Ovis aries: one gene and its partners. The protein of the gene in region 1 purifies or fractionates together with the protein of each later gene. This does not show direct contact. Links are inferred from orthologs where the notes say so. Each region holds a gene or a part of one and is shown in the gene's direction. Other genes may lie near its edges.

What was found. Proteins that work in one complex are often made in the same cells at the same time.
Region 2: the proteins of EED (region 1) and PHF19 purify together in Homo sapiens (affinity purification with mass spectrometry; 8 studies listed by BioGRID and IntAct, counting the BioPlex papers as one, with this or other methods). This does not show direct contact. The link is inferred for Ovis aries from reciprocal best matches to the Homo sapiens genes EED and PHF19.
Region 3: the proteins of EED (region 1) and AEBP2 purify together in Homo sapiens (affinity purification with mass spectrometry; 6 studies listed by BioGRID and IntAct, counting the BioPlex papers as one, with this or other methods). This does not show direct contact. The link is inferred for Ovis aries from reciprocal best matches to the Homo sapiens genes EED and AEBP2.
Region 4: the proteins of EED (region 1) and MTF2 purify together in Homo sapiens (affinity purification with mass spectrometry; 3 studies listed by BioGRID and IntAct, with this or other methods). This does not show direct contact. The link is inferred for Ovis aries from reciprocal best matches to the Homo sapiens genes EED and MTF2.

Annotation. Positions count from the first base shown.
Region 1 is NC_056074.1:8,812,015-8,817,543, reverse strand, and holds part of EED (polycomb protein EED), read left to right. Parts: intron 1-2,947; coding exon 2,948-3,100; intron 3,101-4,773; coding exon 4,774-4,866; intron 4,867-5,529. UniProt on the Homo sapiens protein: Polycomb group (PcG) protein. Component of the PRC2/EED-EZH2 complex, which methylates 'Lys-9' and 'Lys-27' of histone H3, leading to transcriptional repression of the affected target gene.
Region 2 is NC_056055.1:2,683,657-2,689,923, forward strand, and holds the start of PHF19 (PHD finger protein 19), read left to right. Parts: upstream 1-2,840; 5' UTR 2,841-3,022; intron 3,023-4,174; exon of another isoform or gene 4,175-5,575; intron 5,576-5,671; exon of another isoform or gene 5,672-5,690; intron 5,691-6,267.
Region 3 is NC_056056.1:196,107,148-196,113,219, reverse strand, and holds the start of AEBP2 (zinc finger protein AEBP2), read left to right. Parts: upstream 1-2,645; 5' UTR 2,646-2,934; coding exon 2,935-3,587; exon of another isoform or gene 3,588-3,927; coding exon of another isoform or gene 3,928-3,950; intron 3,951-6,072. UniProt on the Homo sapiens protein: Acts as an accessory subunit for the core Polycomb repressive complex 2 (PRC2), which mediates histone H3K27 (H3K27me3) trimethylation on chromatin leading to transcriptional repression of the affected target gene.
Region 4 is NC_056054.1:70,260,805-70,266,939, forward strand, and holds the start of MTF2 (metal-response element-binding transcription factor 2), read left to right. Parts: upstream 1-2,708; 5' UTR 2,709-2,941; coding exon 2,942-2,946; intron 2,947-6,135. UniProt on the Homo sapiens protein: Polycomb group (PcG) protein that specifically binds histone H3 trimethylated at 'Lys-36' (H3K36me3) and recruits the PRC2 complex, thus enhancing PRC2 H3K27me3 methylation activity.

The DNA of each region.
Region 1 (5,529 bases):
AAATGTATAAAATACAATATATAAGATCACAAACAAAATCAATGGTAAAATTATAAGGAAGTTATAAAATTGTTTAAAACAAATTTCAGGTTTAATAAAGTACTTTTTTTATTACGTTAAGTAACTAGACATCACAATGACTGATAGTACTGATGGGTATAGACAGCTTTTGAGATCTGCAACAACTATAATGGAATATAAAAATTCATGATTTCCATTGCTGAGGAGGTTACAGCTACAGTAACATTAGCACATATACTGCCTGTATTATAGTAGAAGGAAGTAATAGATTTCGGTTAAAAATGTGAAAATTAAGATGCAATCTTAAATTTATTTATGAATTTATTCAACTGCATAAGTTCACAGGCCCTCTGAATTCCATTCAGGGACCCAGATCTAGGACATAAGTTAAGAGAAGCAGTAAAGGAAGGGAGTAGAGAACTCTGTGTAAAAAATGAATTCAGAAAAAGCTAATAAGGGCAGTGATTTAACTCTTGAGGGAGCTAGATAATGATGGGAAGGCCAAAGGCAAATGGAAGAAAGAATCTGGTATTTGTAAGTTGGAGTTATGGTAATCTGAGCAGTTGATACTGTTAAAGTGAATCAAAGAACTGATAGGATGTTAAACTTTTTTAAAGTTTAGATAAAATTGACCAATAACATTATGTTATTAGTTCTAGGTGCACAACATAATAATTCAGTATTTGCATTGCAGAATGATCAGCACAGTAAGTGTAGTTAATATCGGACCTATTTTAAGTTCATTGTATATGTACCTGCCATTTTATTAACTTTTTCATATAAGTGCAGCATAATTGGCTTCTGAAAGAATACTGATTGTTGCCTGGTAGTAAGATCAGAAGGCTGAATCTGAAGACTTGACTTTGCTTTAAGGAACCTGTGGCAAGATCAAGGGACAAACTACTATCCCCATTTCCTTGTTGAGCAGATGAAGGTGGTAGTGCCATGTCTGTTACACAGTACCATTCTGTACTTTGAGGAGGAGGAGTCAAGGTGGATATCATCTTGTGCACATACTAGATGCTCAGGAAAGGTTTGAATTTACAAATAAAATGAAAGCATTGTGAGTATTGCATTTCCATTTGATTCTGTCTTGATTTGACTATTTGAGGAGATGGGTAAATTAAATGGGTAAAAGGTGTGTGTGTGTAATGTTCCCCAGTTATTTACTATGTTTTGTGTGGCTTCTTGATTAGCAGTTGAATTTTTAGCCAGAGTGGAAAGAAGCTGGTGAATAAATGTCTAAGCATTGTATTGTTTCATTTCTCTAGTGTTAAAAGATAATTTTCAGAAACATTTTACTCATGTAAGGGAACTGGTCAATTTAAGTCACACAGTACAAACTATACAGATGAAAGGAATGTAGAGATGAAATTGCAAATGGAGACAAAAACTTTTCTTCAGAATGAAAGGGAAGACATTTTGAACCTCTGCCTTTGGCTGTCCACAGTGTAAGAGGTGTAAGATTGTTCAAAGGCAGTGAAGCAGACTAGAATCTGATAACATGGAAGGAAAGTGTGCAGTAGACATAAGTTTCCCAGTGAAACACAAAATTGTTTTCTACACTAAATTTTAACTGTGTAAATTCAACTGAAAGGTAGGAAGAAATAAAGATTAAAAAGCAGTGATTTCGACCTAGAAACTGAACTCTATAAGTATAGTTTTGTATTTTCTGTATCTAAAAGCTGATTGTGTTTACATTAAGTTACAGTCTAGATATTGAGCACTGCTGTGTGCCATCTATCCACTCCATTGCTTTTTTCCCATTGTAGTGTTAGAATAAGTTGTGTACTTTTTAAAAGCATTTCGTTTTGGTATGAACCATTGGAAGTTTTGGAAACCACCCCTAAAAACTACCATATAATACCATACAGGTTTTAAGCAAATTAATGTGAATTTTTAATGTACTTTTTTGATATTCTAGTGGATTTTTAACTTTCTGTAATATCGTAAAACTAACTTTAGAAAGCAGTAATTTAAAAATAGCTCCTAGGGCAATGGTTTCTAGTCTGTATTCTCATAGATGTTAGTGGGCACTCCATGAAAAAAGCTTCCTCTGGAATGAATTTAGTAACTACTGCCCTAAGGTGATACAGGTTTAAATAAATCTCTTTATGCCAAAGAACACTTTGGAATGTGTAATTGGAAGAGGTAGTGAAATCCTCTTCTGAGAGTAGAGGACCATTAATATATCTTGTAGACTGGAGACAGGATATAAATTAGGTGAATTTGGAAAGATGTTACTTTACAGTGAGCTTCTGGAGGTCTGAATCATGAGTATTTTAGAGCCATGAGTCAGATTTCACTGGTAAATAGCACGTAATATGTAGAACCTAAAAAAGTTTCTAAATGGTTTTAAGTGTTATAAATAAGTAGAGTTTGAGTGATAATCAGGATTTTCATCTAAAATAGGAAGTACTAACACACTGGCCTCAAACAGCCACCCACTGCCATGCTCCAGACTGAGCAGCAAGCAGTCAAATAAACTATGAGGACATGTAGGTCAGTCAGATGTAGGAGTCACAGCTCTGGTTTTCAATCCCAGCAACCCTAACCAGCAAGACACCACCTTAGGCCCTCTAAGCAACACGTATCTAACAGTACGTTGTATGAAGAGCAGTAAAGATGAAGTGAGGCAATGTAGTGTCATGGCTGGCACAAACCAGTGCCTTATTAATTTATTTATTAATAATAAAGCAGTATTATTCTTACCATTAGCATCATCAGGATTTGATTTTTGTTTATATTTTTGCTGAAATAGCAAATATCCACAAATGCTAATGCATTTGCAGGAATACATTTTTTCATTTCTTGCAGGATTTATTAATTACTTCTTTTATGTTGGTCAGCAGCTCTCCAGTTTGAAGTCATTTCCTAAGTACAGTATTGCTGTTTCATATAGTTTTTTCTGATTTGCTGCTTATAGGATGATGCTGTCAGTATAGAAAGCGGTACCAACACAGAACGCCCTGATACACCTACAAATACGCCAAATGCACCTGGAAGGAAGAGTTGGGGGAAGGGAAAATGGAAATCAAAGAAATGCAAATATTCTTTCAAATGTGTAAATAGTCTCAAGGTATGTGGAGAAAGACACAATCTATGGGCTAAATGCAGGGTTCCAGAATTGCAGGTTTCTCAATGGCAAACATTTTATGCTCAAGGTTCTCTGTCAAGTTAAAAATATTTTAAAGTTATAATAGTTGGAAGTCAGTCTTTAAAAATTGAAGTCTTATTTGTAATTGTTTTCAAGAAAAAAGGTATAAATTAAAATTTGTTTTGCATACTTAATATTTGGGAGAAATAATAGGTTCATGTTATTTAGATTACTGTCTTTCTCAATAGTCTTTTTATTATTAAAAAATGTTTACTGATATTTAAGTGTTTTATGTATTCATTTCCTGTTTTTTTAATTTGGGGTTTTTTCCTATACTGAGCAAAAATATACCTTATAGTGTCTTGTGCATATGTTAGATTCTTTTTAAAATACCTAAATATCCTTTTAAAGTCTTTGAAAAGCATAAGAAGCTATGGAAATTATTGGAAATTATTTCCATATGGAAATTATTTTCCTATCTAGGTAGCAAAATCCATTGCTGTGTATGTCAAATTATACTGTCTTAAAAGGAGAGAAATTAATCTCAGTGTTTTTGTGTGTGTGTTTTTCTTCTAAAGCAAAGTGTCCCTTTGTAGTTTCATGTTAATATTTAGGTGTATTAACTTGTTTTTATGTAGTATATTTGGAAAGTGGTTTGAACTGTATTGTTTTTATTAAATATTTCCAAAGCCTAAAACTGTGGCTTTTTAAAGGATAAGAAATGAATGTTATCAGACTTTAAAGTGCCTTAAAGTGAATATGAAGGTTACTGTTAAACATCAGGAAATTGCCAGTAAAATCCTAAGGCTGAAAAATAACTTTATGAACAAAACTTAATACTTTTAGCAGAGGGAACTCTGCTCAGTATTCTGTGGTGACCTAGATGGCAAAAGAGTTTGAAAAAGAACGGGCGTGTGTGTGGCTGAACCACTCTGCTGTGCACCTGAAGCTGACACGGCATTGTTAATCAGCTCTACTCCAATTAAAACCAAAAACTGGATGCTTGTGTTTTAGGCACTTCCTATAACCTCCTGATAACTGTGGAGTTACAGCCCACTGCCTCCCTGGCCCCCACTTTCAAGTGTTCTTATTCATTATAAAACTTCTTAGGTGGTTTTTCTTTTAGGATCCAAATTCAAAGTAATTTTAAATTGTTTCTATAGAACTAATGGTGAGCAGTGATTTGAATGGAATCAATTTTCTTCACTTCACAAGGGAAGAATTCAACCAGAAAACGTTTAATGAGTACTGGAGAAACTGTATTAACTCAGGTTATTTGTTATTTCAGAAAAATAAATTGTGTCCTGAGAGATTAAATGCATTTGTCACAATTATCCATTATATTTTGATTCAAAAGCATGGCATTTCGGTTTAAGAAGATAGAGAGCAACTATTAAAGTATTTTCATTGATGAGTACTTGTTACCTAAGCTCTAAGTCTTTAATTGTTACATAGTTTTATCATGCACCAGTATTTTAAAATGTGAAAACTGGACTAACATATCTTTTAAGTGTCAAAAGTCAGTTTATGTATGATAACATAAAATTGCAGCTTGCATTTTGTGGAGGGGAAGGTTTTTAATGGGAATGATCAGTTTACTACATTTTTTGTTTTTAAAATATATTGATTTTTCTTATTTCTTGGTTATTTTATAGGAGGATCATAATCAACCATTGTTTGGAGTTCAGTTTAACTGGCACAGTAAAGAAGGAGATCCATTAGTGTTTGCAACTGTAGGAAGCAACAGAGTGAGTGTTAAGGGGCTCTTTGGCATTTGGCTCATCAGTCTCTGGTATTAGTGTAACACTGAAGTGTAATGATTTTGAAGTAAACTTTGTATAGCCAATTTGACAGTATCATTTCTTTATGTAAAAATGGAACATTCTAGAAATTGTCAAAAATTAAAACTAATATTCATGACTGAAAATACATCTTTTTTCATATATACTCACAAAATTGTTCATGAAACAAGTCTCTATTTATATTTTGTCTTTGTAAATATTGTTCTAAGTGGCTGAAAAAATTGACTTTGCTTTTTCCAAGTGACTGTGATAGTTGTTTGTCAACTTGGAGTAACAGGTCTGTGATTTCTTAAAAATAATAAATGTAATTAGTTGCTCTCTATAAATGCAAAGCATAAATCCAATGGATTTGTATAATAGTTACTGAAAATATTTTAATTATACACAGTAAACATTTGTTTTGAATTGTTTTTATTTAAGGAAGCCAGAGTATCTTGAACTGAGAGAATGCATGGAAAAAAACCGTAGTGGACATGTTTTGATGTAAACTGTTATTTAACTTTTTAGTTGAACCTGGGACTGAAAAAGTGGATTGCAAAGACTTACTTCCATTCACTTCTAAATGAATGGGAAAAAGGAAGATTCCTAGGGCCTACCAGGGAGTCTCAG
Region 2 (6,267 bases), on another chromosome or scaffold:
CATCCCCCTCTGCCCCAAGGAATACCTGGCATGCTTGCCCCTCATGCTGCTGAATGTTGCAGATGTGAATAAGGCTGTTCTTTAACAGACAGGGAGATCAATCCAGAGGAGAAGGGACCCACCCCTGGTTGCACTGCAAGCTTGGGAGGCACGGGGTGGGGCCACCAGGATCCGAATCCCAGCGGAGGCGCTCCTGGGCTCACGGAGAGGACAGACAGTTGATGTCTCCCATTTCCCCCACAAAAGCCACAGGTAAAGCTGTTTATGGCCTGGCAGCCAACCAAGGCCACAAGCACTTCCACAGGCCACAATCTAACCCTGTCAACTATTTCTTTCTTTAAAAGAAAAAGAGAATTTAAATCGTGTTAACAATCATCCTTTCTACCATAATTTGAAAGCTCTCAGCACCTCCCTGCCGAGGCCGTTATAAACTGACCCCTAAATTCAGGCAATAAAACACAGGCCCACCCTGCTGGCCACCCACTTTCAACGATGGAAACACCTGTATCTTAATTATTTCCAAAACTTTTATTAGAATCATAATTATTCGAATTCATGAAAAGCATTTTTCTTCTTTGTAAGAGCACTTCCATACACACTAAGTGGGCTAGTACTCAAATGTTTCCAAACCAATCAAATCCTCTAGAATGAAGAGACTGTTGTACATTTAAAAGTAGGTGAATTTATTTTATGTGAATTATTTGTTGCTGTTGTTCAGTCCTGTCCTACTCTTCGTGACCCCAGGGACTGCAGCACGCCAGGCTTTCCTGTCCTTCACCATCTCCCGGAGCTTGCTCAAACTCATGTCCATTGAGTCTGTGATATATACCTCAATAAAGCTGAATTAAAATGTAAGACAGTGCAGGGACTTGACTGGTGGTCCAGTGGTAAAGAATCCACCCACCAATGCAGGGGACGGGGGTTCAATCCCTGGTCCGGGAACCCATACGTCGCAACAAAGGCTCAACGTAGCCAAAAATGATAAATTTTAAAAATAAGACAGTGAAAAGCACAAGTCACTTTCATTTTCTCCCTTGGGCTTTTTTATATTTTCCAAGGTGTCCTTAATGGAAAGTAAAAACAGAAATGGCCAGCAGTTGGAAGAAGATTGATTTCTGCAAGGTGGAAGACCTCTTCCTGACATTCTTCGGCCTTTGCCGGTCTCCCGAGACACAGCTGAGGGTAAGGGGACTCCTCCCTCCTGTGTGTGGCCTTGCGGAAGTCACCCCATGTCTCCAAGCCTCTGTTCCCTCGCCAGTGGACAGACCCAACGCCTACCGTGCCTTCGTCACCAAACCGTGGGAGCAGACATGTCAGGACTCTGAGAGCTGATGGCCCAGCACACACGACGGGTCAGTGCTGAGACCAAACTTCCTTCGCTGTAATCTCTCTGCACATCCCATCTTTAAAATTACCAAATATTTCAAACATACAGAAAATGGAGGAAAAAAGTTTTAGACCTGAGAAGAAGGATCAATGCAAAGAACTACAGACAAGCCACCCAACTTTGCCAAGTCTTGACAGCTTGCCATATATACTTCAGATTTTTTTTCCCTGAAAAATAGAACAGTACAGATTAAACCCTCTGTGTTCCTCTTTCTGATCTCATTCCCATCCCTCCGTACCCAGGGGTAACTGCTGTTCTAAATTTAGTATCTTTGATTTCCTATGCATGTTTTAACATTTACTATCTGACTGTATCCCTAAAAATACATATGTAGCATAGTTTTAAATTAAAAAAAAAACCTTTTTAATATTGCACTATTTTACCACTTTTCTAGACTGTGCCTATGTTGAAGCTATAGCCTGAGTTTCTTTTCCCTCCCGGTATATTATTCCATTGCACAAAGAGATAACAGTCTATCTATCTGTCGATGGACAATTCATCAACTCCTCAGTTTTTACAACTACATGCTGAGTAAGGGGAGGGAAGTCACTAAACGGTAGATAAGAGCATCTTCAACTTTATTAGAATTTTCCAAACTTCTTCTCCAGAGAAGCTGTATCTGTTCGCGTCTCCACCAAGATGGTACAGGGTTCCCAGGGGGCCGCATCCTCACTCCCTTCACCCCTTTCCCCGCGCTGAGGGACTGCTGACTGCTTGCCCTGCTTGCGTGGACGCAAAATGGTGTCTCCCAGCTCTTAGCATCTGCATCTCTCCCATGGCCAGTGAAGCGCAACATCTTTTCATATTTCTGGCCACCTCGGTTTCCTCTTCTGTGAACTGCCTGTGTTAACTCGTTTTTTAAAAGTGATTATTTGTGTTTCTCTCGTTTGTCCATACTTTCAACCTACTTCTGCCAGATCCTCCCAACGCAGACTCAGTTCACGGCCCTTCTCTGTTCTAAACTCCCTGCGGCTCCCTCTAGAACACGCACAACTCTAGAATAGGCCACAGGGCCTTGCTCAGTGGCCCTGATTCGCCTGTGGGCTAAAAACCAAACTCAGCCCAGGACACTCAGCTCCTCCTCCTCCAGGCTTGACCTGCGCACCCTGAACTCCAACCCAAAGGACACCCAGCTCGCTTAGTCCCAGGCCTCCAGCACACACCACGCCCCCAGCCTGGAATGCCTCCCTCCTATCTCCACATTCCATCTGAATGCCACCTTTTCTGCAACCCTTCTCCTCTCTTCTCAACTCAAAGCTGGGTTTGCCTCTGACTCGCAGGTGAAACTATACCTTTCTAGTGGCATTTATTACTCCTCCTTTGTCGTGTTTAAGCAGCTTTGCATTTTGCCCACTACTTTTTCATTTACAAAAGCACAGCTCTTTATTGTGCTGTTTTGGCCTCACCTCTGCAGTGGTCCTGTGGCACAAGGTAGTCGTTTACACTCTTTGAACAGACAGGGAAGGTGGTTTACCAGGGCACTAGCTCACCCAGCATCTCCCTTCCGCTCAGAGACGGAGCTGGACTTGAAGCCAGGACTCCACCGATTCCGCGTCCAGCTCTACACACCATGCCCCTCCTGTTTATATCCCTGCTGTTGCTGCCTGGGCCAACCCCTGGCTCCCCCTTGAGACGGTGAGTCCCGCTGCCCCCAGTTCTAGTCTCACTGCTGCGGGAGGAGGGGGGGGCACTCGGTGAGTACATGATTTCTTGACAAAGTTACAATTATCACTTATTGCACACCCACTGGCCGCTGAGGGCTTTGCATACATTAACCCCAACCTTCCCAACAACTCTAGAGGAGATTGAAGTTTGAGTTGAAATGCTTTGCTCAGGGTCCCACGCCCCGTGGAGCTGGCAATCTCTGCCTTACGCATAACAAGGGTAGACCCAGCCAGCCAGAGAGACAGTACCCCAAGGCCCACTCCCCAGAGAGTGAGTCCGGACGCGGACATTTCTGCCCATCCTCCCCAGGGCCAGGGCCGATCATGACTGGAGCCGTGCCCCCAGCCTCAATCCGCTATTCCTCTGACTCCGTATGCTTTCACCGGGCGCCACTTATTTGAATGTTGTGTTTGTGTGTGCGTGTGTCGCGGGGTGTTTCCAACTGTATCTCTGTGTTGTGTTTCTCCGCTTGGCTTTGTGTGCGATCTGTTGTTGGTGTCCTCTTCCTCTGGCGTGTTACTGTGTTGTGGCGCTGTGCCTGTCTGCTTTATGCGCCTGTTTTGCTGTGTGTCTGCGCTGTGTACACTCTTGCGTGTCTGTGTTAATGTGTGCTCTGTCCTGTAGATCCTGAGTGCTCAGCTTGCGTTTGTGCCCCGCGCCGTGTCTCTACGCAGGCCGTCTCCGCTGCAAGCGCAGGACGCGTGTGTGTTTCTGTTGTGCTAGTCCCCTTTGGGTTGTTCCAGGTCTGTCCGGGCAGCGCGTCCCTGCGCCCCCGCACCTCCCCGCTGTGTGTCCCCGCCAGCTGACGTCTGCGCCCGGCGCGCAGAGCCGGGTTTCCTCGACAAGTGTGCGCCGGCCCGGGCGCCGCGCGCGCGCCGCCGCCGAGGGGCCGTGCCGGGGCCCCGCGCCCGTGTGCGCCCGCGCCGCGTGTCTGCGCCGGGCGCGCGGTGGCGGGGGATGCGCGCCCGCGGGCGCGGGGGCGCGGGCCGGGGCGCGGCGCGGGGGCGGCCCGGGGGCGGGGGCGGGCGGGCGGCGCGGCGGGGCCCCGCGACCGCGGGCTCCAATGGCGAGGCCGGCGCGGCCCCCGCTAATTACATAAGCGGGACGTCAATAATTCGCGGGAAAACGCGAAAAAGATGGCGCCCCGCGCCCGGGGGGCCCCTTCCTGAGCGCCCGGGCCCCTCCCTCCTCCTGCTCCGGCCCCCCTCCTCCCCCCGGCGCCCCCGCCCCGCCCCGCCCCCGCCGAGACCCCGACCCCGGCCCCACGGGCGGACACTCGGCCGGGCAGCCGCGGGCCGAGCGCAGCCGCCTCCGCCGCCGATGCGCCTGGTGGCCAGACTCCAAGTGGGACCGGCGGACACGCAGCCTCGCGGTGAGTTCAGCGCTGCAGGCGGCCGGCCCGGGCCGGGGACTCCTCGCCGCTCTCGCCTCTCGCCGCAGTCATCCCTCTTTTGGAAGTTTCCCTGGACTTTGGCGGGGCAAACGCCTCGGGGCCGGGAGGGGGTTTGGAGTCCTGGGGAGATGCTCGCCGGGGGCGGGGGCGCGGGGTGGTGGAGAGGGGCGCACGGTGTCTGCGGGGCGGCGGGAGCCCCGCCCGGGTTCCCGAGCCTCTGGGGGGGGGGGTGGCGTGTGTGACAGGTCGCTGTTCCCGTGCCCCAAATCTTTACTTTTCCTGTTTGGTGGGGGGACGGGCCTGGAGACCGATGGGGCCGTTTGGGATTTTGCTCACGTCCGAAGTCAGGCTGCAGCAGGATGGGGATGGGGGGAGGCCTGGCGTCGGAGCGATTGAAGATCGGAGCGCTTGAACCCGAAGGGGGGTCCTTCTGCAAGCGTTTTCCCCTCCCGAACACCCTTTTTAAAAAGCCAACGGCCGCCCTGGGAGAGGCCCCGGCGCATGAATCATCCTTGCTTCCTGCCCCCGCCCGGCCCCGCGCTCCGGGGGCCGCGGATTTGAACTGGACGCCGACGAGAACCCGCAAACAGGCATTTCTTTGCAGATGGGTTTGAATCAGCCAATCACAGCCCGCGGGGGCCCGCTCCGGGAGGATGAAGGCGCGGGTGGAGGGGGGGCCCGCCACCCGAGGGCCCCCGCCCGGTCAGGGAGGGGGGTGCGGCGACTGGGCCTGCTCCCAACGGCGCGGCGGGGGAGGAAGTGTCAGTTTGTGAACCTGCCGCGGGCCCGGGCCAGGCCCGGCGGGGCAGGACCTTGCAGCGCTCGGCAGCCAGGTGGCAGGGAGAAGGCAGAGATTTGGACCGCACACCCTGCCCGGCGCCTGTGCGCTGTGCCCTGGAGAGGAGGGAGGAGTTGGGCGGGGGGAGGGAAGAGGATGCGGCCGCGCCACCATCTGGAGAGTGAAGACCCCAGCAATGCCCTGCGTGCCCCGGGGCCCTTGACATGCACACGCATGTGCTCCGTTTCCTTTACTCGCCGCCACAGAGCTGTAGACATCAAACACCGCCTCACAGGAGCACACACGCACTCACACGGAAACACACACACGACTGTCTCCCTGTAATCTACAGGTAATCATAACACCAGGTGCCCAGCGCCTGGACAGAGGAGGGGACTGGAACAGTGGGTGCAGGGAACAGAGGGGGCTGTGCTTAGTGGAGAGTGTGTGGAGCCGCCTGGAGCCAGGTGAGCCCAGATTGAGGAGGAGAGGGCCTTGGGGTGGGGGACTTTGAATGCCACTGAAGGCTTTGGGGAACCACAGGAGGTTTCTGGGAGAAGAAGAAGATGGGAAATTGTTGGCCCTGGAGAGGAGTCTGGTGGGGAGGCAGGAAGACAGGGAGTGGCCTGTTTAGCGCTGTGCCTAGGTGGTACCATTCTGCGTCCCAGGTGCCCAGCAGCTGAGTGAGCATGAAACAGTTATTGAATGAATAAATCAATGGCCCAGGCAAGATGAGGCTTGAACTCAGACCAGGCCAGGGAGATGGACAAGAGGAAGCCAGAAATCACTGTGCTTGAAGTTGGCTGCTTGTGGCAACTCATAGGTTGGAGAAGTCAAAGATGCTGGGTTGTTCTGGGGACCAGAGTAGTACTGTTAGCAGGAAGTGGGAAAGCACCAGGAGCAGTAGGTTTCATAGGATGGTGAGAGACAGATGTAGAGAGGTTGGCATGGCGATGACTTCACTGCTTGGAGCCAATTTGCATCTGAGTAAAAGCATAAGTGAGTTTAAATGTCCCAGAATTGGTTTCCGTTAAATCATCCCAT
Region 3 (6,072 bases), on another chromosome or scaffold:
AATGGCTACCCTCTCCAGTATTCTTCCCTGGAGAATCCCAGGGACGGGGGAATCTGGTGGGCTAAGAGCTGGACACAATTGAGCAAGTAACACACATGCACACACACATACGCACACAGGCAAGCAGGTGTATAAGTGTTCATTATTATCCAATTCTTTCAATTTTTCAAAAAATTTGCAATTAAAAAAAAACTACTCCAGTGATGGGAAACAAGAGCTGTTTTTTTTTTTTTTTTTTCCAGAAAGCCAGTTCTAAGATAGTTTGTTTTTGTCTTCAAGTAGAAATACTGCAGTCAGAGCATTCATTTGTGGGTTTGATACCTGCCATTTCCACTTACCTAATTGCCATGCACGTTTCCATCCTTTCACGTTTTTCTCCATATCACCTGTAACATTAGATAACCTTATAACATAACTTAATCATATCACACCTTAAAAAATTTTTCTGACTACAAACACACACACACTCACTCACTCACTCTGTCATCTTTCAAAGTCAACATTTTTTTACTTAGCGTTTTCTGTGATCTCATCTTGAAGTCTTTTTCACTTTTGTAACTTCATTTTCTCATGCTTAACAGTCACAAATTAAATTTTTATGCTTTTCCAATGTCTCAGTCTTAGAATTCCCCCTCACACAGATTTCTCAGTCTATTCAATCTTCAAGATCTGGCTCCATCGTAAATGTATTGTATGTTATGTACACAACTGTTCAAATCCTACATTCTTCATGATGTTTTCCTTTAGTACGTCTGCCAAACGCAGCCAAAATCTCTAGGGCTTAATACAGTGCTTGGCACATACACTTAATACACGCTTTTCAGTTAAACTATGATAGTTTTTAACTGACAACACAGGAGGATGAAAATACTTTCTCAGTCTATCTCAAAGAGTGGCTTTGAGGTTGAAATGTTTGTGGTTAGCATTTTGCCTTGTATGAGCGTTGTGAAGGTATCTGTGAGCCATAATGCCCCATGGTATTATTTATTATTTTTATTTTTGCTTTCTTTTGATGCAACATACGGAACAAAGCTGTCCAAAGGCCTAAGGCTGTAGACATAATGCTGGGGTATTCATGATGTATGAAGACTTTCTAAGATGTGTTTGAGTGCAGAGCCTGTTTTAAGGCAATCAGTTCTCTGATTCTCCCTTCTCTTACACCTAGAATTGATCTGTCTGAAAATGTGCCTCAGGGTCAGATGTGAGGTGGGCTCCTTTCCAGCTTCCCTTATCCCAAGTGACCCTTCACTGCTTTGCAAAAGAAAGGCATAACTCTGCCTCACCCATCTTCCTAACCTACCTAGCAGGGTATGCAAAATCCTCCCGGACACCAGAAAAAGGAACAATCGAGTGGTGAATGAGAATGAGTAACACATCTTTTTACAAGTCAGGTGGTGTTCAATTACTTGCTTTCGACAAAGTTGAAAGAGAACCTAGTCAGAGTTGTCAACGGATAGATCATTAAAAGTATTTTTTTCTTGTTAGATCTTTATGTGATTTTTTTGGGGACATATAATTTAGAAAGAGTTCAAAGAATCGAATTGCATTGCTCTGACAAAACTCCATTCATTCTCATGTACTTATTAATGTGAACAAGTTTTTTCAGTGCTTACATTCAAGGAATTAAAAGTTTGTAACTGAATGGAATCATCTCATTTTCATTCTAGAAATACTCGTCCACTGATCAATAATACAGCTTTTAAAAAAGTATTCAATTTCATTTCTGTAAGATGCATTGTCAACAAAATTCCAATTTGAGGGTTTAGTATCTATTTGTAAATATTTGAAATATATTTGTTTTGATCAGTTGAAACAAGTGTTGAGTGTTATGATCTCAGGAGATTTAGAAACAACCCTTGAATTTCAATTTCGATACACATTTTTTTGTGTATATAAGATGTATACAGGAAATATATAAGATGAACAATAAAACAGTTCAAATATAAAATATTAGGATAAAATTCTGCGAGATGTAAAATGTAAATGAGCTCCAGAGGATAAAGGATGGAAATTGCCCAAGTATAAACGAGACTGTATTTTAAAAGATATTGGTGGGTATTAAATCCGTATGGCATTTAGGATTCATTGGTTGACTACATTTACAAAAGTGTGACAGTCGTAAATTATGAGGCTGGGAAAAAATGTGGTTGTCACTTTAAACATGTGGATGTACGAAGATGTACAAAATCGTCTCAGAGGGCTCAGGAGCTAAAAAGTTTGAAGCTCTTGCCCACAGATGTTTGCTCTCAGACTGAGATTTAACCAGTCCTCGGGGTATTCGAACGTAGGTTAGATAAAAACCTGTGGCTCTGCGTCGCGCGTATGGATTCAGTACCTAGCACTGTATTATTCATTTTTACTCATTTTCCTCGCCTCTCCTCTTAGACTGTCAGCTCTCAGGAGCCCAGGGACTTGTTCGATTCTTGGCTCAGCGCCCGCGCGCCGGGGACGCTCCCCAAACACTCCCGGAATGAATGACTCGATCGTGAGCCCTCGGGGCGGGGGCTGTTAGAATCCCCGCCCGGCGCCCAGCTTTTCGTTCCGCGTGTTCCGCCCGCCGCGCGGCCGGGGAAGGCGTGGGCAGGCCCCGCGGAAACTCTGAGTCCCGGCGGGCCGGGGCGGGGGCCCAGAGGGGGCGCGGCCGGGGGCGCGGGCGCGGAGCCGGCGGCCGAGGGGAGGCGCCACCGCGTGCCGCCGCGCAGGCGCGCAGCCGTCTCCGCGTGAGTGCGCGCAGTGGCGCGCCTGTCCCCGCGCGGGTTCCGTAGCGCGTGTGCAGGCTGACGCAGCTCGCGGGCCCTCCTCCCCCTCTGCCGCGGCGTCGGCCGAGTTTGGAGCGTTTGGGAGGGGGACGAGGGAGCGAGAGTCGAGAGAGGGAGGCGGCGGCGGCGGCGGGGAGGCGGAGGAGCCGGAGGAGGAGGAGGAGCAGGCGCCGCCATGGCCGCCGCTCTCACCGACATGGCCGACCTGGAGGAGCTCTCCCGCCTGAGCCCTCTGCCCCCCGGCAGCCCCGGGCCGGCGGCGCGGGGCCGGGCTGAGCCCCCCGAGGAGGAGGAGGAGGAAGAAGAGGAGGAGGAGGCGGAGGCCGAGGCGGTGGCGGCGCTGCTGCTGAACGGCGGTGGGGGCGGCGGCGGAGTGGGGGGCGGCGAGGCGGAGACGATGTCGGAGCCGAGCCCCGAGAGCGCCAGCCAGGCCGGGGAGGACGACGACGAGGAGGAGGACGACGAGGAGGAGGAGGAGGACGAGAGCAGCAGCGGCGGGGGCGAGGAGGAGAGCAGCGCCGAGAGCCTGGTGGGCAGCAGCAGCGGCGGGAGCAGCAGCGACGAGACGCGCTCGCTGAGCCCCGGCGCCGCCAGCAGCAGCAGCGGGGATGGGGACGGCAAGGAGGGCCTGGAGGAGCCCAAGGGACCGCGGGGCAGCCAGGGCGGCGGCGGGGGCGGCAGCAGCAGCAGCAGCGTCGTCTCCAGCGGCGGCGACGAGGGCTACGGGACCGGGGGAGGCGGAAGCAGCGCGACCTCTGGGGGCCGGCGAGGCAGCTTGGAGATGTCGTCGGATGGGGAACCCCTGAGCCGCATGGACTCGGAGGACAGGTCAGTGCTCCGAAGCGTTCCTCCGCCTCCCTTCCTCCTCTGGCGCTCCTGGGCCCCTCCGAGGGGGACTTTTCTGCTGAGAGTCCCCCCTGTTCCCCGAATCCTCGGCCCCTCCCCCCTCCCCCCCGGCTCTCAACTCGGAAACCTCTCCCTGCCGCCGCGCCCCTCTCGCTGCGGATAGCGGCTTCCAACTCTTCAAAACCCTTTTCCCCCCAACTCTCCTTTCCCCGCCCTCTTTCCCCCTCGGCTCTGCGCTCCGTTCGGACCGAAGGACGGCTCCAACTCGGAAACCATCCCCAAAGTAGGCCCAGAACCTCCGGCGGAGCCGAAGAGGGCCTTGATGTACACACCTCGGTACACAAGGTTAGCTTCCCCGGGCGATGTTGGCGAAGACTTGTCACAACTGTAACTGACAAGTGTTTTCCAACATGGCTGGTCTCGCCTGGATGTAAGAGAACTTCCTTGTTCAGGGAGGGGGACCCCAACCATCACTTTTCTTTTACTTAAAAAAAAGACTATTCTTTTCTATTTGACTAGCGCTTCCAGAATTCCTCGTATCTTCCTTAACCTGGTCTCCAAAATGATTTTAATAATCTCTCTTTATTTGGTTGGTGGTCAAACTGGGGAGAAAGTTCTCAAACTGTATACATCGTTGTGTAAGAGAATAATGAGTTGGTGTCGTTTAAGGTAACTTTACCGAGCCGAAGAGAGTTGCAGTGGTAACAAAATGCAGTCTTAGGGTACAACATGTTAGTATGCGTTTTAAAATCTGTGTACACTAATGGTTCAACAAGAGCCGTGATTTTAGGTGATAGTATTTAAAGTCATGTTTTGGCGAGATTTCTGAAGAGATTAGTAGTAGTTTTCTAAAGCTTTTTAGAAAGTGTGGAGACTGACAAAAATGCGCTTCATTTTCTGGGGGCTTTAAGATACTCATTGTTACGGTATGTTTCAGATGTTATTGTCATTATTTTTCATCTCCAGAAGATTTCATATTTTAACTAATTGGTTGTTAATGTATTTTATTTTGCTAGAACAGAACCACGTCATGCGTATTGTACTGCATCTAAAGTATGTTAGCAATTATTTTGACCGTCTGCTAATGTTTGGATGAGCAGTAGAATTTTAACCATCGATATTGGATTTGAAAGTTTTAAGTATTCTAAAGTTCTAGGAATTCTATTGTTAACTGATAAAAAAGGAACACCTTGGCTTATATTTAGTATTATGAGGAATTCACAGCCCTAAATATTTTGAAAATACAGCATCAAATTCTATTTGACATTTATTTTAATATCTAAGGAAATAACCTTGAATGGGGTAAAATAGACTGCAAACCTTGAAAAAATTGTCCTGAACTATGTATGCAGGATAGGAAGGAGAATGTCTTTAAGAAAATTAAAAGATTGGTGTGAACTGCCTAACGAAGCATGTTATTTGTCGTTTTACTGTATACGCCTTCGTTGGTACCAGTAGATATTTAAAAGTTGACATTAGTTCATACAATTCGGCGTCTTCCACAGTTGTTCCATTTACCTAGCATACACACGTACTTGCCTAGTAGCACTGAAGGATTTAAATGTGCCAATCATGTCATTTTCACAACTCTGGTGCAAGACTTAAAAACAGAGAAGAAGCAAGTTAAGTGTCTTACTCAAAACAGTAACTATGGAATGGAAGTGGTGGAGCTGGATCTGAACAAAGGTTCTCAAGTCCCCTGCTAGTTCGACTTCACCAGAGTTAGAATTATTCTCTTTAAATAAGCTACAAGCAGTATGTGCCAGGTTTTTGTTTTTTTCGTTTTTTAAATTTAATGTCTATCTACTATGTCATTTTAGGAGACTGTGAGTAGTTGGTCCAGTAATACTTCAGCAAGTGGAGTTTTGACGTAATTTTTATTAGATACTCACTTGAATAAGTAATTCTTACTCATTTCAGAGTAAGGAGTAAGATACTGGTGCCACAAGTCCAAATAAGGTTAAAATTTGATTAAAAAAAAGCATGCTTGCTTTTCTGGATGCTTAAATATTAGAGACTACAAAATACTATAATCTTTTTCCTATTACAGGGTAATGAATTTATCACGTATGAAAAAACCTTATTGCTAGTGAAACTGTTTGTGATCTTGATAATATTAACTTTGAAATGCCCCCCTCCTTTGCCTTTCAGTTTCTTTTTTTTTTTTTTGAGTTCATAATTCTTATAAATTGATGCAGATTACATCAATCTGTGGATTTTATAGGTTGATTTCATGGTAGGAAGTCTTTATATTTGTAACTGATGGAAGGATATCGTGGTTTTAAAGTGCTTTTTAAAAACACGAGGCATTCCTGTTGCAAAGATTTTATTATCCTTAGAATTTACTCTCTTGTTAGAATGTCTATTGAGCTTTCACCTTGAAATAAGATTATACTTTCGAGTTTATGTAACATTCTTTAGAACATGTTGAAATATTTTAAATATTTTTAACTTTAAGTGCTTCTTT
Region 4 (6,135 bases), on another chromosome or scaffold:
CTTAAAAGGTTTAATATAAACTGACTATACAATGCAGCAATTCCAGGTGTAGGAATCTATCAAAGAAAAACAAAAACAAGTATCTACACAAGAGTTGTACACAAACATTCATAGCAGATTATTCATAGTAGCCCCAAACTGGTGAATACATGACAAAATAGAATACATTCATACAGTGGAGTACTATTCAACAATAGAAAGGAAAGAACTAGGGACACATGGTACAATGTGGATGAACCTCAAAAATATTGTGGTGAGTGAAAGAGGTCAGACCAAAAGACTACACATTGTATGAGTCCATTCATATGAAATGGCCAGAAAAGGCAAATCTACAGCAACAGATAACAGATTGCCTGGGGTGAGGAGTCGGAGAAGGCAACGGCACCCCACTCCAGTACTCTTGCCTGGAAAATCCCATGGATGGAGGAGCCTGGTGGCTACAGTCCATGGGGTCACAAAGAGTCAGACATGACTGAGCGACTTCGCTTTCACTTTTTACTTTCAGGCAGGGTAGAAGGAAATGGCAACCCACTCCAGTGTTCTTGCCTAGAGAATCCCAGGGGTGGCGGAGCCTGGTGGGCTGCCGTCTATGGGGTCGCACAGAGTTGAACATGACTGAAGCGACTTAGCAGAAACAGCAGGAGTTGGAACAAGTATTGATTATAAATGGACATAATGACTTTTTTTAGGGTGGTGAAAATCTTCTAAAACTGGATTGCGGTGATGGTTATACAATGTTAGTCTCTCCTGTTTTCATTTAGGGACCCAAAATGAAAGATATTCCATCACAGCACAAGCTTCCAGGATCACCACAGCAAGCAGGAGGGGATGTGCAACTGCTTCTTAAAGATTTTCCTAGAGAGTGATTGATTTTCTCATCCATTTTATAGGTAAAAATGAGTTACATAGCCATACCTAACTCTAGGTAAAATGCAATTAGTAAAAATGAGCTACACAGCCATACCTAACTCTACGTAAAATGCAATTTTACTCTTTGTCTGGAAGAAAGGAGAACCAGAATTTTTGTGAGCAACCCGTATGACCATCAGAGAAATACATAACAACAAAGAGTACAGTTTACTTGGACTGGAGTTGTTTTGCTTTGTACATCTGAGAGGTTCCACATTTGTTTCTTCTTAAGGTTCTAACCCATGGCAATATTGCTTCAGTTCAGTTCAGTCGCTCAGTCGTGTCCGACTCTTTGCGACCCCATGAATCGCAGCAGGCCAGGCCTCCCCATCCATCACCAACTCCCGGAGTTCACTCAGATTCACGTCCATTGCTTACTTAGCAGTAATTTCTGAGACCACCGTTACAGAAATTCTTTGCATTTTACTGTGACTCCCTCACTGCCCTCGATTCCCTGAGCACCTGGCTTCCTAAAATGAAATGATTGCACTTTTGTACTCATATGTTTACATAGGGAAAAAGTAAACTTTTTTTTTTTTTTTCCCAAAAAGACAGGCATCGTTGACTTCTCTAAGGTATAAAAGATCAGAACACTTTTGTGTGGCTAAAGAAGCTAAAAGTTAGACCAGTAAGTGGAAATTACAGGAAGGCAGATTGTACATTTATAAAAGGACGGACTTTCTAATTATTAGCGTTTGTGAAATCGGCAAGACTGCCTCCGAGGTACTGAACCACTAAAGATGTTGAAGCTGAGACTTGATGACCACTTGAAAGAATTGTTGAGGGGAATTCAGACCAAATGTTCTCTAAAACTGATGTTCTGTGATTAGATTTAGCTGCACAGCACGTATACCTTTTTAAAAATAAATTAAACTCTATTCAACCAGAAGTGTGAAGGGGATTGAAGACAAATTTATGAGAAAATAGGTTATTATAAAAGTGAAACTTGAAAGGTAGCAGATAGATTGAGGCTGTCTTCCTAGACGGGAAAACATGGTACTAATTATCCCTGTGAAGTAATGAGACAAAAATTAAAAATTATTTTTAGAGTATTTTGACAGTTATAAACAAAGGTACCATATGTGCCTATTAAGAGGAGTTGGGTTTTATCTAAGTAGAAGTCACAGAGATAAGCATTCACTCTGTCACTTAGGACATCTGCAGCAGAATATTCGTAGGCTAAGGGTCTGCTCTAGCACAAGAAAGTTTTATATTCCCAAAATAAACCACTTAGGACGAAATTATTCTCAGTTTTCATCACAATTATTAAGAATCTGCAAAGCAGATAAGCAGAGAAATCTTTCATCGTCGGGGAAAAAAGTGTGAAAATCTCCTGATAGGAAGGAATTTGGAGCTGGACAATAATCTCCGAACAAAATGTGATTCTGACGTCCCGGGCCTCTTCCCCGCTGAATGAAATTCGAACAGGCCTCAGGATAAAGGTAAGAGATTTTCTCCATAGAAAGAAAATTGGCAGGGCAAGACGTAAGGGGTACCGTTCTATTTGTCAGGAACAGAACATGCAACGTGAAAGCTGAACACAAGCTTCCCTCTGTAACAGAAAGAGCCAATACACCAGAGAACACCGTTCACTATTGTGTTAGCGCCGGCGGCGGAAGGACTTAGTTCACCACAAAGTCAAAGAGTCCTTCTTTGTTCAGTCCTAGCCGCGGACGCAGAGCGCGGTGTTCTTCCGCGCTCGCCCCGCAGTCCCCGCCCCCTCGCGGCTCTGGAGAGCTGCCATTCGGCACCGGAGGCGCTCCGCTCTCCCAGAATGCACCGGCAGTCCGCGGGAAACCAAAATGGCGAAGGGTTGTAGCGAAGTGGGCTGTGTTTGAGGCTGGTGTAAGAACGCTCACTCTACCCCTCCCCAACCCTCGTCCCCAGGACCTCGGTTTGTGCGTGTGTATGTGCGGGGTGCCCGGTGGGGCGGGTGCCTAGTAAGTGCTCGGACTCGCAAGGGAAGCGCCCACGGGGTCGTGATTGGTTGTTTTTTCCTGTATGAAGCGGTTGGCACCACTGAAGTGACCGAATGAGGTGAGAGACCTTGGCCTGGGAACCAGGCTCTTCCGGAGGAGGTGGAGGGGGTGGGGAGGAGGAAGAAAGGAAGCAAAAGGGAAAGATGGAGGCTCAAGGTGGGGGTGGGGGCTGCAGTATGTGTATGGGGGTGCCTTGAAAAGAATGGATGGAAAGGAGTAGTCAGTTGGGTACTGGAGAAAATAGGGTCTAAAGGAGCGAGCAGGGCATTGGGGGAAGTCGGTTGGAGGAACAAGATGAAACGTTGAGACGGGGAAGCTGTGTTTGGAGGGGCAGGAAGGAACCTGGGGGCGGGAGACGGTTGGAGGGGCAGGATGAACCTGGTGATGAGGGGGTGGGGAACCGAGGGGAGGAGCCATTAGGAAATGGGGACTGAGGGAGATGTTGGGGACCAGAGTGAAGGGGTTGTCTGGGACCTTAGAGGGCGCAAAGGGAAGTAGCCGCTTGAAACGAGGTGGGGGGTGAAATTGTATGGAATTGGAGTATGGGGTAGAGTAGAAGGGCAGGATGGAGTGTGAGGTTAAGGGGAACACTAAGTAGAGCCTGAGAGCAAACCCTGCAAACTTAAAGGGAAGAAGTGGAAGAAAAATGTGAGATGGGAGAGAGGTACCTTATATTCAGAGCCCACCAAAAATCGGAGGCAATTCTTCTGTTTAATTAAGTCTAACTCTTAATGCCTGCTCGGATGTAGATTTGTATCATTGTATTCACTTTACAACTGAGGTAATTACGGCTTAAGAGATTTTAACTAATTTGCCAAGATTTCTTAACATGTTTTAGTAGTGCCAGAACTCTTAACTGTGTTTTGCAATGTGGCGTCCTTGGTTGTTAGACTTTTTCTTTGGAAGCAACTAGCGGGAACAGATGAGATAGATTGATCGGGGTGATTTGATGAACTGTAAGGGTTCGAGAACAATGGGAAAAGGGGTATGAAATACTGTTCTGTTCTTTAAAACATTTAAGTTTGGTTGAAGATAGAGTCCATTTACTAATTCAAATATATAAACCTAGGTAGGCTTGTGTATAATATAAGAAAGCACCATGTGAGGTCAGTATAGAACTAGAAGTATGTATATAGTTCCTTATTTGACTCCAGATGCTCCGGTAGTAGTAACTTTCTCCTTCAGATTGATTCCAGGTGACCCTTCTGTACACCTTGGCTGTAGGTTGGTTTCAGTTTCATGTTTTCATTCTCGAGAATTTCTTTCTTTGGTAGTGGATTGTAAAGACAGTGCCTTTAAAAGTATTTAGTGTGGATAAAATAAAGTGTGCGTCAATTAATGAGTGACCTTTTCGGTGGTTTGAAATGCTTTAAATAGAATTGATTTGACTAAGCTTCAAGTGCCCAGTAGTTTTAGCAAGGAAAGAGCTGATTTTAAATTTCTGTTATATTCTTGGGCTTCACTGGGAGCTCAGCTGGTAAAGAATCCGCCTGCAATGCGGGAGCCCCCGGTTCGATCCCTTGATATTTGGAATGTTGTTCACTTTCCAAGCGTTTGTGGTGATAACTTGGGATGGGAATATGAGATGAAGCTTTTTGTTTTTATTTTTCTAGGTTTCCAAATATAAAAATCTATTTGAATTCACATTTTAAATTTGTTCGCCTCCATTTTTTTTTAAGTGCTAAAAATATTTTAAAATATTTGAATTAAGAGTGCACCTGTTTCCTGATACTGCACATTCATGTCAGTGGGCATTAACGAAATCTATACCTATCCGGATGAAGCGCTCTCACAGTTTTAGAAGTATAGAAATCATCTGGCTAAACATTATATCTAGGTAAAACAATGTATTTAATTATGCTGTTAATTACACCTGTTACCTCAGAATTCGAGTAGGAAATTAATTTTATTCCGTGTATTTTGCTATGGGTCATAAACTCTTTGATGTCATGGATTATAAATAGACCTTTTCATTAGACCTTTGACTGACAGGATACTTTGCTTTATATTTCAGCATAATCTTTACATCTGACTTTAGGAAACTGGCAGTATAGTGATAATCTAGTTTAACACATGGGGAAGTTTGCCTCTGAGCAGTTGCCAAGGCCAACATCTGTAGCTTGGTCGTTCTGAAAGTAAAATTTAACTCTAGTTAGTCTAAACTTCCATGAATGGTATTTCTTTGTTGATATATTATGCTTTGTTTTCCCTGTTCTTCAAGATTTGTTTCTTGTAGCACAATACAGTGTGTGTGTGTGTGTTCAATTGTTTCAGTCCTGTCTGAATCTTTGCGGCCATATGGACTGGAGCCCGCCAGGCTCCTCTGTCCATGGGATTCTCCAGACAAGAATACTGGAGTGGGTTGCCGTGTTCTCTTCCTGGGGCTCTTCCTGACCCAGGGATCTATCCTGCATCTTGTACATCTTCTGCATTGGCAGGCAGGTTCTTTACCACTAGTGCCACCTGGGAAGCCCAAAATACAGTATAACAACCTGGAACTGGACTATGATGGTTTCTCTGTGGATGTTTTTTAATGTGTTCGAGTAGTGTTCTCTAGTGGAACTTTTCTGCAGTGATGGCAGCTGTCTATATCTGCTGTACCCAGTATGGTAGCCATAGGCTCATGTGGTGTTAAATACTAGAAATGTAACTGGTGAGGCTGATAGTTGAATTTATAATTTAATATACTTCATTTAAACTAAAATTAAAATGGCCATATGTGACTGCTGTATGGGACGGCACAGTATTGCATCCGTTTATTAGGAATTGTCACACCCATTAACCATGGAAACCACACGAACCCGAGGTAAGGAACTATCTTTGAACTGAAGGGATTCACATTCCCTTTGTAACTTTTTAAGGTGAAGTAATCTTCATTTTTGCACACACCATGTCTTCTGTCATATATGTTTTCACATAACATTGCAAAAGAATAATGAAGGTAGCAATGTCTCTTGTCTTTTTTAAGATGCAAGATTCTTTTTCTTTTGTCAGAAACAACAGAAACGAGTTTTAGGAAAATTAGTTTACTTTGCTATTTAAAATAATTTGTTATTTTTACACATAAACTTTCAAACAGATACAAAGTGAACAGAAGTATAATGAGCTTTTCAATGGAAAATTTAGACATACTGAAATGCAGACATTAACTCTACACTTTAATAGCTTGAAATATAATGCCTGTTTTATATTTATAATGGCACCCCACTCCAGTACTCTTGCCTGGAAAATCCCATGGATGGAGGAG